Linked DNA regions of Caenorhabditis elegans. The protein of the gene in region 1 interacts with the protein of each later gene in a pairwise test. Each region holds a gene or a part of one and is shown in the gene's direction. Other genes may lie near its edges. The genes, in order: thoc-3 and tcer-1.

Region 1 (4,545 bases):
TATTCTGGTGTTGTGGACTACCAACGTAGATGCTTGATAAATCGAAATTAGGCCCTTGGTATTGACCGATTTTCCGATTAGTTGCTGAAAATATTGTCGTAACAAAGTTTAAATTGAAAGTCTCACGTCTTTTAGGAGTGCTCGTTTTCTCGTCGTGATTTGTGGAATTCATCGGTGATGTGATAAATGCCGATTTATCAGATGTTGTCGGCACATTTTCGTCATTATCCCTCTCCACGATTTCGTTGTCATTGGCTCCTGGCTTTGCTCTAGCTTGGGGAATCAATTTATTTTTTCGATGATTCAAGTTTCCGAAGACGGGCGAATTTGTTTGAATGTCGGGAGGTGGTTGCTTATCATAATGGTGTATGGACGGCTCCCAGGAGTGATGCTTGTCTTTAGGCGGCGATGCTCCGTTCATAAATTTTGAAGTTTCAGGAAAAAGCAGGTCAGCTTTGTTTTCATCAGCAAAAACCTGATTAGTGTATTCTTCAATGGCATTCTCTGAAAATTAGAAACAAAATTAATGGTTTAAGTAGATTAAAACTAACCTCCACCACTTTGAAACTCAAATTGACTAGAAAACGACTTATCGCTCATCACGCTGGCTGGACGACTCGCACTGCGCGAGCTAGCGGCAGATCGCAAATCTTCATTTTTCTCCTCAATCGTTGTCAGGTCATTAACCTTTGGATTAGTCATGTTTGTTTTGAAGCGACCACCATTTTTGAAGTTTTTCGGTGTCTCGTGTACTTCCTCTTCTTCGAGTTCTACATCACCATCAGCATTGTCTGAAAAAGCTATTTTAATTGCATAACATGTATAATAACTTACAGAATGATTCATTATCATTGTCATCAATGGGACTATCTTCAATTTCTTCGAACTGTTCATTACAGAGATTCATTGGAGCATCATCTTCCATTTTTAATACGCTGAGAATAGAAAAAGTTTTAAAATGAATGATTTTAAAAGCGTAAACACTAATCATTTGACGGGCGCGCCAATGTTTGTTTTCTGTGTCCGCAAACACGGCCACGCGAAAATGCGTACTTTTGTATCATATTTTTTGCAATTCAAATTGAAATAACTATTTTTTTATAGTCGTTTTTAAAACATAAAATCTAAATATATTGTGAATTTCAGCGAAAAATAAAACACAAAAACAATGGGTGATATTGATGAACGAATGATGGGACGTGCTGCTAGTCAATCTCGATTTCTTCCCAATGATCAGCAAGTCATAAGGTTGGTTTTTATTAGGTTTTCTCTAAAAATTCGATAACTGTTCAGTGACCCTCTGTCCAAACAAATCTTCGAATACGAACAATCGCATACTCCAAATGATCGTGAACTGCTTGAAATAATTCAGAAAATCGAGAGAAGTAATCCGGAACGATGTTCGAAAGCACCAAAGTTCGTGTCCCAGCTGCTAACTCACAGAACGACACCTATTCGTAAATTTGCATTTGCGGCTTGTCTGAAAATCTTGGCCCATCCTCAAAGTGTAAGAATTATCAAAATGACAATAATTTCAATTTTGAAAGTTTAGCCACGGCAAATGATGCTCGATTCCTATCACTTGGCACTTGTAAATTCAAATCCTCAAGTGGCTCAACATGCTTTATCGCTTCTGCCTAAGTTTGTTGACGCCTGTCCAGGTGAATCGATAGTAATAAACTCATTTTCATATTAATCTTGCAGAAGAAGCAAATAACCTGATAAAGTTCGGATCAATAGCATACAACAGACTTCCAGCTCCATGTACTGACGTTGAAAGTTTTCTATCAAAATCTTATACCAAAGCTTCTCAATGATTGATTTATTGTTTAGATTTATGAGTTGCGACGGGTTTTCATTTATCAATAAATCGGGTATTTCATTTATTTGATTTTTCTTTGCTTCTCGGTAAAAATGGGCTTAACTTGTCCCATCTTTATACCTTATTTATAAAATTTCATGATATTCGGAAAGTATTAAAATCTAATTCAGATGACAGTGTCTTCCCGAGAACGACGATGTGCACGTCTGTTAACGGCAGCTGATGCTTCGACATATTTTGAAAAGTACAAAAGAATCAGATCAACCGATATGAAGGTATACCTAAAGAAATAATATATTTCAAGCTTTCCCACTCATCAATTTTAGAAATGAAAACTACTTTTCTATTCCAGGTCCAGCAATGCCAATCAATAGCATTTAATTGTGATGGAACAAAACTTGTATGTGGTGCATTCGACAAAAAAGTGAGCGTTGCAAATGTGGATGGAGGTCGTCTCAGATTTTCTTGGGTGGGCTCTAGTCATTCATCGTCTGTGGAACAGGTATATCGGAAATTTCCTCATCTGGTGTTAACGATTTCTATTTCAGGTAGCATGTAGTGAAAAGCAGCCAAACTTATTTGCATCAGCCAGTGCAGATAGAAACATTTGTGTATGGGACATTCGACAAAGCAAACCGACTCATCGAATTTCAAATCGAGGTTTCAAATTAACAATTTAAACTCCTAAAAATGATCGGCTTTCAGTTGGAAATTTCTTCATCTCCTGGTCTCCGTGTGACGAATATTTCATATTTCTCGACAAAGATAATCGGATAAATACAGTAGACATTCGGAATTATCAAGTTGTAAATGTGAGTTTCAAGAGCTATTTAGCAACTTGAGATTTTTAGGATTTTGCTAGGATTGCTTGTAAAGTTGTAAAGACGATCAAAACATTTTAAATTTAATTATTTTCAGTCCTATGAAATGAAAACTTTCTCCCACGAGCTAACATTTCACCCTTTGTCGAACCACGTATTCGTAGCAGAGTCTGGAGGAAAAGTTGAAATTCTAAAGTTCGCCGGTGGAGCCCTTGAACCTGTGACTTCGATTCAAGCCCATTCGCATCAAGTTGAGTGTCTGGCAGTGTCGATCTCGAAAGACGGGCGAAAATTGGCAGTTGGAGCATCGGATGCTTCTTGCTCACTTTGGGATCTTGAAGAACTCATTTGTGAAAGAGTTATTCCTAGGTAAGCAGCAGGACTGGGACTTTTTTTGGTATTTTGGGGCAAAAATATATGTTTAAAAATATATTATACTTAAAACGTTATTTTATTTAAAAAAATATATTTTACAAGTCTTTTTAAGCTAAATGTTGCTTTTAATAGTTTTTGAATTCGTTTCCTCAAATATTAGAATTGCTTTACTCCAACGTTTGTGCGACTAATTAATTGCGAGTTTAGCACAAAATATTTGAGATTCCATCGAAAATCGAATCTATAAATTTTTTTTGATTTTTCGCCAACTTCTATTTTTTGTATTTTGCTCCAACATACTTTTTTGAAAGCAGATGCTCTCAAAATTCGAATAATGATGAGATTTTTTTTCAAGTTTGCAACCTAATCCATTTATCTAGACTCCCGTCCGTCTTTTTTGAAATCATATTTCGTAAATCATCAATTTTTATGTATTACAGTTTATGTACGATAATTAAAATTGGATGATAGACATAGCTTCGAAACATAACCATTATTAGAAGTATTGTTCTCAGATGCTTTTAAAGTTAAAACTGCAAAACTTTCAGACACGACTACGGAATAAGAGCTGTATCATTTTCTTGTAATGGTCAACTTCTTGCATCTGGATCCGAAGATCACTCAATCGATATTGCCTATGTACCAGACGGATCACGTTGCCACGAAATTAAACACACTGGCGAGACCTATTCAGTTGCCTGGCATCCGAACTCTCTTCTCCTTGCATACACTGCTTCCGATAGTATGGACAATAGGGAAGCAGCACATGTTAAAACGTTTGGACACAGTACCGTGTAAAATTTTTCCATAATTATTTTCTCTTGCTCTTGTTCTCGAAAATTGATCTGATACTATAAATTAAAAAAATCGTTTTATCTAGTTAAAAATAATCAACTGCAAACTATACATCAATCACCGAATACGCATCTCTGAAAATTTCAAGATAAATGAAAATCTTTAAAAATCAAATACATTTTCTTGTACCATTCATCAGAATTGTCTGAAAAAATCTTGCCACACGTGGCAGATCCCCATCTTCCATTCATCATCACCGATCGACAAAAACCTTCAGAATCCGCCAGTATTTTGTGTTGCCCATTCTGTAAATTGGGACTTCCGAAGAAAAAACCAGTCCACTCTACTCTTACAGTACACAATAAGTTCCCACATTCTGAATTAGGCTCAAACTGGCAATTTATATTCTGAAATGTTTCAGTTGAAGTCCATACACCCTGCCACGTGCAAAGTTGAGATTGTGGCCGACAACAATAATGACGAATATGGGTGTTATCTTCACATCTGGAAAAAGAAGAGCTTCGGTATTATGCTCAAAAATTGGTTTCACCTTGATTCCGTGGAAAATACTTTTTTGGAAAGCCAACCATTTCCATTTTCAGAGCATAATATTTCTCTCGGACTTCCACAATCACTGACATAACATCCAAATCTTTCCCGTCGATCTATTAGAACATTTGCTGAACATGTGCGATCTGGAAAAAATATAACCTTTTCATTGTTCAGAAAATT
Region 2 (6,899 bases), on another chromosome or scaffold:
TAAATGAAAACCAACAACAATAACAATAGAGAAATCATAACAACGAAAAAACAAATCGAGTAATTTATAGAATGGTCTTGTTCAAATTGCTGTATCCTACACCAACAGCGGTAACCATAGCTTTATCGGCACTTCCTGTTTTGAGATCAGCTTCCTCTTCCTTCAATGTTTTTTTAAAGTCTTCCATTTTAAACTCGATCTCAAAAAACTGTTTGAGATGCCTGAGTGCGTGTACACTATACATTGGAAGAGGACCGTAGAGGAAGTGTGAAACATCTTTAGGACAGAGTGTCATAAATGTGCTTGCAAGTATTTGAGCACTACTGTCAAGGGCACCTCCCATGTAAATTTGTTGAAGAAGAGCATGACCGGCTTCAATTCCAATGTCTTCTGGAAGAATTGGAACTCCTGATTCGCCCTTCGGTCTTGAAATAGCTTCTGCTTGGTAGATAACACCCTCTGTCGTTTCGGCGGTTAAGAACAGACCATATCCTGGAGAAGCGCCACCAGCATCACCTTTCCGTTGATCAACAGTAATATAAACATCCGAAATGTACCCATGCATTGCTTTCTTTGCAGCGTCAATCATTCGATAAGCTAGTGAAGGTGTAACTTTAGTAACATATGCTTGACCTCGAATTTTACAAACTTTTCCGACTTGTTGTCTCTTAAATTAACATTTTGTTTGGGAAGAAACGAATAAAGTAAACTCACTTTTACTGGCCGAAGAGTTTTAACAATTGGAGCGGTAAACACGACAACACCGCCTCCTTCTGGTTTCAATCCTCGAGCTTGAATTTTGATATCAAGTTTCTCATCATTGAGCACAAATTTGTTGTAAACTTTCAACCAAGAAGCTTTCATACCATCGACTGAGATTTCACCAGGTGCGTTTGTAACTCCTTTCAATTTGATTACCATTGGAACTTTGCAGAAGGGAGAAAGCAATAGAAGAGGCTCCAAAAAGTAAGAAATGCATCTTTCGGTACCACAATCCAAATTAACAACACCGCCAGTAATCATTCCCGGTCGGAAAATGACTTGAGTACCTGTTCGACTGATTTCAACTTTAGTACCGTTCGTCACTTTCTCAAGTAGACCGATCAGTTTTGATTCGAAATCTGTAATAATATTTTATGTGATACAAGTTGATAATGAGTAGACCGACCTCTGATTCCTGGTCTATCATCATTTTTTCTGATGTTTATTATTCTGATGGGTCTTCCGCTGAGAATTGAGTACGCTAGTCTGATTCGGAAGAAATTGCATCCACTGAATTCTAGAGTTTCACTGGACATTACCTGAAAAATGTGTCCATCAGTCAAGACGAAAATTGAAGAAAAACAAGCGATTGAAAAATAACAGCATATAAATATTAAATTTATTTGAATTAAAATTCTCCAATTTGAGGATTGAGCTCAAATAGAAACTAAAAATGCTAGAGAGCAGTTTTCATTGGGAGCATATATTATCTGCAAATCAGCAAAAAATAAAGAAAACGTTTACTCGTTTTGTGTCTTAATAAATCAGTTAATTAAAAAGACTTTTTTTAAATCCTTTTAATTTTTTGTATTCATCTGCAACTGCAAAAAAAATTCCGCGAAAAAAAATAATGCAAACGCGCTCCATTGTGAGAATTCAGAGCGCGACGCGGTGTGCGACGCGGTCCTTTGCAACATATTTCGGAGCTTTTTACAACTATTTTATTTGTTTTCAGTTTACAAAGTATTATTAGGGTAAATGGGAATGACTAAATATATAAGCCAAGCAATTAACACTCTGTTATATACATAGCTGATCTTTATAGAGCTCAACTAGATATAGTTTTGAAACTTTTCGTAATTCCATTATGCTAGACTACTGTTTTTGGATTTTACTTTATGAACTGCTCTTTTTTACAGATGAGCCACGAAAATCAGGAGAACTACGATGATTATAACGGAGACCACGACAATAAATATGACCAGCAGTACGACGAATCAAGCCGAGGCGATGATTTTGGGTATGTTTTTTTTTGGTATTCTTAATTTTACGAAAACCGTAAAAATATTATTTTTCAGTGGATATGGTCGAGGAGGGTCGTCAAGGTATTATAAAATTAAATTTACATGCTCAATCTAAATAAATTATCAGTACATTTTTTCAGCGGCAGAGGTAGAGGATTTAATGGACCGCCAGGCGGTGCTGGAAGTTTTTTCGGTGTTCCCCCAGCTGCACGTGGTCGAGGTGGACCAGGGATGGCTCCTCCAGGATTCGCAGGTAGAGGTCGTGGATTTGCTACACCAGGTATGAGCAGTGGTTTTGCTCCGCGCGGTCGCGGTATGCCGCCAGGTCGTGGTGGATACATGCCTCCATACAGAGGAGGTTATGGTGTTGCACCAAATGGAGGTCCAGGAGCGTACGGAGGGCCTTATAACGGAGGTCCTGGAGCATATGGTGCTCAAGCACCAGGGCCGAATCCACAAGATCAGGAGCAACGTCTGAAGAGAGTGAGTAAATGTTCAATTGTTGAAATAGTCTAGAAACGTATACCGTATTTCTTCTATTAATATGGCTGCAATACTATTTTTCGATGGTCTTCCCGCTTGCAATACCAATAGGGAGTGCAAGACTATTAGGGAGTGCAATACTAATTTTCAGGGCCTTTTTCTGACTTTGAGCTTACTACTTTTGTTCTGAAAAAACTCGAATCTTATGTAAAAATTCAGAAAATTTGATTGAAATTGCAACAAAAAAGTTCAAAAACTTCAATCTTATAAAAATTTTCACGAAAATTGTTGAAAACGACGCAGAAAATGTTGTTAAAATCTCAAATTTAGTGAGGCGGGTTTGCACCGAAAAAAAGTAGACGCAAGACTATTAGGGAGTGCAACACTAAAAGTGAGTGCAATACTAATTTTCGGAGGGTGTTCATGGTGCAATACCAATAGGGAGTGCAAGTCTAATAGGGAGGCCATACTAATAGAAGAAATACGGTATTTCAGCTTTCGGGATGTGAAGAAGGACAAGAGTTATGGGTTGAAACTGAGACAGCTGAAGGAAAAAAGTATTTTTATCATCCAGTTAACAGGAACACAATTTGGGAGCGACCACAAAACGCTAAAATAGTCACTCAACCAGAATTGGCTCAACTCATTCATAGAGCCACGGAAGAGGAAAAGAATCGTGAAGGTATGCAATTGCATTCAACTTTTAGCATTTGATGTTTTTGATTCCATCTTTTTGCACATTTATAATTAATTTTCAGAAGGTTAAGTTTAAACCTGGCACAGAAATTTCAGATTCTTAGGTTCATCTCTCCATAAGATTATGTCGCTCTTCTAGTCGTTCCTCTTCATTGCTGTCAAAGCTGAAACGCGTTTGTTAGAAAAGTTTGATAATAAGTTTGGAAAAAAGAAACATAAAAATCAGTGGTAATAATCAAAAAGTCCGTATTGTATCACAGCCACAGGAAAAAATTGCGGAACAACTACCGATTTACGAGCTGCGAGAAGGACATTCTATGCCGTGCGAGCATCATGCCATCCACTAATGTGTAATGTCCACTTTTCTAAGTTTTCCATCAAGTCATAATAGAAAATCATCATTATCTCTTGACTATGAGATTCGGGATCCACGTAGGGGCGGTCTCTGAATATAAATTAGATTTTATTTTTCATATTTATGCCTAACATATGATTTTTTTTCAGAGCGAATGCCACATGGTCAAATCCCACAAAATCCTGATGATGCCTGGAATGAGTTTAATGCCCCGGATGGCCGGAAATACTACTTCAATTCGATAACACAAGAGAATACTTGGGAAAAACCAAAAGCTCTCATCGATCAAGAGAATGGAGGGGGAGCGTCTCCCGAACCTGTACAGTCGGCTGCTATCGCTGAAGCTCAAGCCAAAGCACAAGCGGCGCTGGCAGCTTTTATGGCTCAACAGAAAACTTCTTCCAATGGCGGAGGTGGAATGCCATTGTCTAAAGCACAAGCTTCAGGTGCAGCTGCTGCAGCTGCGGTAAACGCCGAAGCTGCTAAAAAGAAAGATTCGACTCGTCCCATTAGCAGCACTCCAGTCAGTGGAACTCCATGGTGTGTTGTTTGGACCGGTGATGACAAGGTATTCTTCTACAATCCTTCTACGAAGTGCTCTGTTTGGGAACGTCCACCAGATACATATGGACGCGAAGACGTTGACAAACTAGTTCAGAATCCTCCATCTCCAAAAGCAGAAGAAGAAAATAATCAGTCTAAAAAAGAAAGCGAGTCAGAATCTGAGTCTGATGAGGATGGTCCTCCAAAAGCTAAGAAAAGTCGAGCTGAAAAGAAGAAGGAAGCTTTGATTGCTGCTCAAAAGAAGGAGAAGGAACGTCCTCGCCAAATGCTTCAGAAACCAGTTGATCCTGCAATTGAGGCTGAGATGCAAGCTGCAAAGGAAAGAGAGAAAGTTCCATTGGAGGAGAGACTGAAACAGTTCAAGGAAATGCTCGAAGAAAAAAATGTTTCCACATCAAGCACGTTCGAGAAGGAACTTTCAAAAATTGTTTTCGACAAACGTTACCTGTCTCTTGGGGCTACTGAGCGTAGAGCTTGCTTCGATGCTTTTTGCCGGGAAAAAATTGAATCTGAGAAAGCTGAGAGAAGAAAACGGGTCAAAGAAGCAAAGGAAGAATTTCAAAAGTTACTTGCTGAGTGCGAACTCAATGGACGGTCATCGTATTCTTCATTCACTTCAAAGTTCGGAAAAGACCCTCGTTACAAAGCAGTTGAAAGAAATCGTGATAGAGAAGATGCTTTCAACGATTTTGTCGGCGAATTGCATAAGAAGGAAAAAGACGAGAAACGTGCTAAGAAAGAAAAACTGAAAGCAGCTTTTGTGAAACTTTTGGAAGAGCAGACTGGTCTCACGCGCAAATCTAAATGGTCAACCACGAAGAAAACACTTGAAGATGAAGAAAGATACATTGCTCTCGATAGTAGTTCTACCAGAGAATCTCTGTTCCGAGAATTTGTGGCGAATCTTGGAGATGAAACAGCATCGGTGAATTTATTGTCTTATTGTTTTTTTTTTTCAATTTTAAAATATCATTTTCAGGATATCGAAGAAGAGCAGGAACGTGAGAAGCGTCTTGCTGCTCAAACGGCCATTGCAAACCGTCAGAAAGAAGTTGAAGCCGAACTTGGTAATCAACTGCGAGAGCGCACAAAAGAAAGTGAGAAACAAAAGATGGGCGAACACGAGGATACCTACCGAAATCTTCTAATCGATCTGATAAAATCTACCGAAAACAGTTGGCACGAGGCTCGACGCATTCTTCGAAAAGATGAACGCTATGCAAATTGTGATATGTTGGATAAAACTCGCAAAGAGTCGCTCTTTGATGATCATATCAAAAGTTTGGAAAGAAAGCGTCGTGAGGCTTTCTTCCAAGTTCTAGATAATCATGAGAAGATCACACCAATGATGCGCTGGAGAGACGCTAAAAAAATCATTCAAGACGAGGAAGAGACTTTCGTAAAAATTGCTAGCAACTCGGAGAGGGTTTGTGATTTATTTTTAATTAAAATACTTTAACTTTATTATTTTCAGAAAGTTGAGAGAGATTTCCGAGATTGGCAGGAGAGACGGCACGATCACCTTACTGATGAATTCAAGGAGATGCTTTCTGAGACAAAAATCATCACGCATAAGTCGAAAAAATTGATGGAAGAAGGTGAACAGCACATGGATATTTTGTCAGTTCTCGAAAACGATAAGAGATGGGTGCGGATGACTGCTATGAGTGCATCAGAACGGGATCGTATGCTAGAAGATCATATTGGTAAGATAAATGCTCATAAATTGATACAGTTGATTTACATATTAATATTTCCAGAAAACTTGGGCCGCAAAGGAACACCGCCTCCACCAACACAACAAGAGCGGGATCGCAGAAAGCAATAAACACTTGATTAAGTATTTAAATTAGTTGTTGATATTCCATCTTTAATCAGATCCAATCTTCTCATTCAATCTCATCACTTTCCCGTTCTCCATCTATTTTTGTACCTGTATCCACAGTATTTTTAGCCACTTATTGTTTGTGCCTCTCATTGATTCTAAAAAGAATTACCGTATTTCTTCTATTAATATGGCTGCAATACTATTTTTCGATGGTCTTCCCGCTTGCAATACTATTAGGGAGTGCAAGTCTAATAGGGAGTGCCATACTATTTTTCAGAACATTTTTCTGTGTTGGGGCTTACTAGATTCTACTTGAAAAAACTCCAATTTTATTTGGAAGTATAGAAAATTTGATTGAAATTGCAACAAAAAGGTTTTTTTTTAACTTTTCATAATACTGGTATTTCTCTGAGAATATTTCTATGCTTGTGCATGAAAATTTAGTGATATCTTGATGGGCATACTTTGTAAAAACATGTTGAATCAAACACTTTCAGAAGTGCTATTGATTTCAGGTCCAACGATAAATTTGAGTACGGGTAGCACATGAAAACGAAATTTCCAAAAAACGCTTATTTCTCGGGAAATAGTTCAATTCTACCAAATTTTTCTTTGCAAATCTACTAATTTCTTACAATATAAAAACATTAAAAAGGTTTTCTGAATTGATAAAATTTTTAAACATTTTTGAGTACGGGTGTTTGAAAATTTGACCGAGGTGTAGAGGGGGGATTCTTTTGAATTTCTCGTTAATTTATCCTCTTCTGTCAAATATATTTACTTTTGATACTTAAGATGGACTGTGACGGGTTTTTCTTATTTTATGTGTTATTCGATTCTCCCCGATGTTCTTTTTATGTATTACTGTTTGTTTTAATTTATCGAGTTCCGAATTAACATAAATAAATAAACAATAAACTAAAAATGTACATGCAGACACGAAAATTTCCCGCAAAAATACGGTATC

What was found.
Region 2: the proteins of thoc-3 (region 1) and tcer-1 interact in a two-hybrid assay, tested with the Caenorhabditis elegans proteins (one study listed by BioGRID).

The regions. Positions count from the first base shown.
Region 1 is NC_003279.8:8,969,147-8,973,691, forward strand, and holds thoc-3 (WD_REPEATS_REGION domain-containing protein), read left to right. Parts: upstream 1-1,992; coding exon 1,993-2,097; intron 2,098-2,174; coding exon 2,175-2,324; intron 2,325-2,370; coding exon 2,371-2,482; intron 2,483-2,527; coding exon 2,528-2,634; intron 2,635-2,740; coding exon 2,741-3,012; intron 3,013-3,566; coding exon 3,567-3,816; 3' UTR 3,817-3,891; downstream 3,892-4,545. Other genes in the region: spd-2 (Spindle-defective protein 2), read right to left, coding at 1-84, 127-504, 552-791, 835-925; F32H2.10 (Integrator complex subunit 1 R4 domain-containing protein), read left to right, coding at 1,169-1,248, 1,294-1,507, 1,553-1,661, 1,705-1,817; F32H2.12 (SRCR domain-containing protein), read right to left, coding at 3,920-3,947, 3,991-4,118, 4,167-4,317, 4,364-4,508.
Region 2 is NC_003280.10:7,045,074-7,051,972, reverse strand, and holds tcer-1 (WW domain-containing protein), read left to right. Parts: upstream 1-1,901; coding exon 1,902-2,002; intron 2,003-2,060; coding exon 2,061-2,087; intron 2,088-2,146; coding exon 2,147-2,489; intron 2,490-2,984; coding exon 2,985-3,171; coding exon of another isoform or gene 3,172-3,203; exon of another isoform or gene 3,204-3,535; intron 3,536-3,689; coding exon 3,690-5,029; intron 5,030-5,083; coding exon 5,084-5,530; intron 5,531-5,578; coding exon 5,579-5,810; intron 5,811-5,864; coding exon 5,865-5,932; 3' UTR 5,933-6,100; downstream 6,101-6,899. Other genes in the region: ZK1127.5 (putative RNA 3'-terminal phosphate cyclase-like protein), read right to left, coding at 65-667, 715-1,121, 1,169-1,298.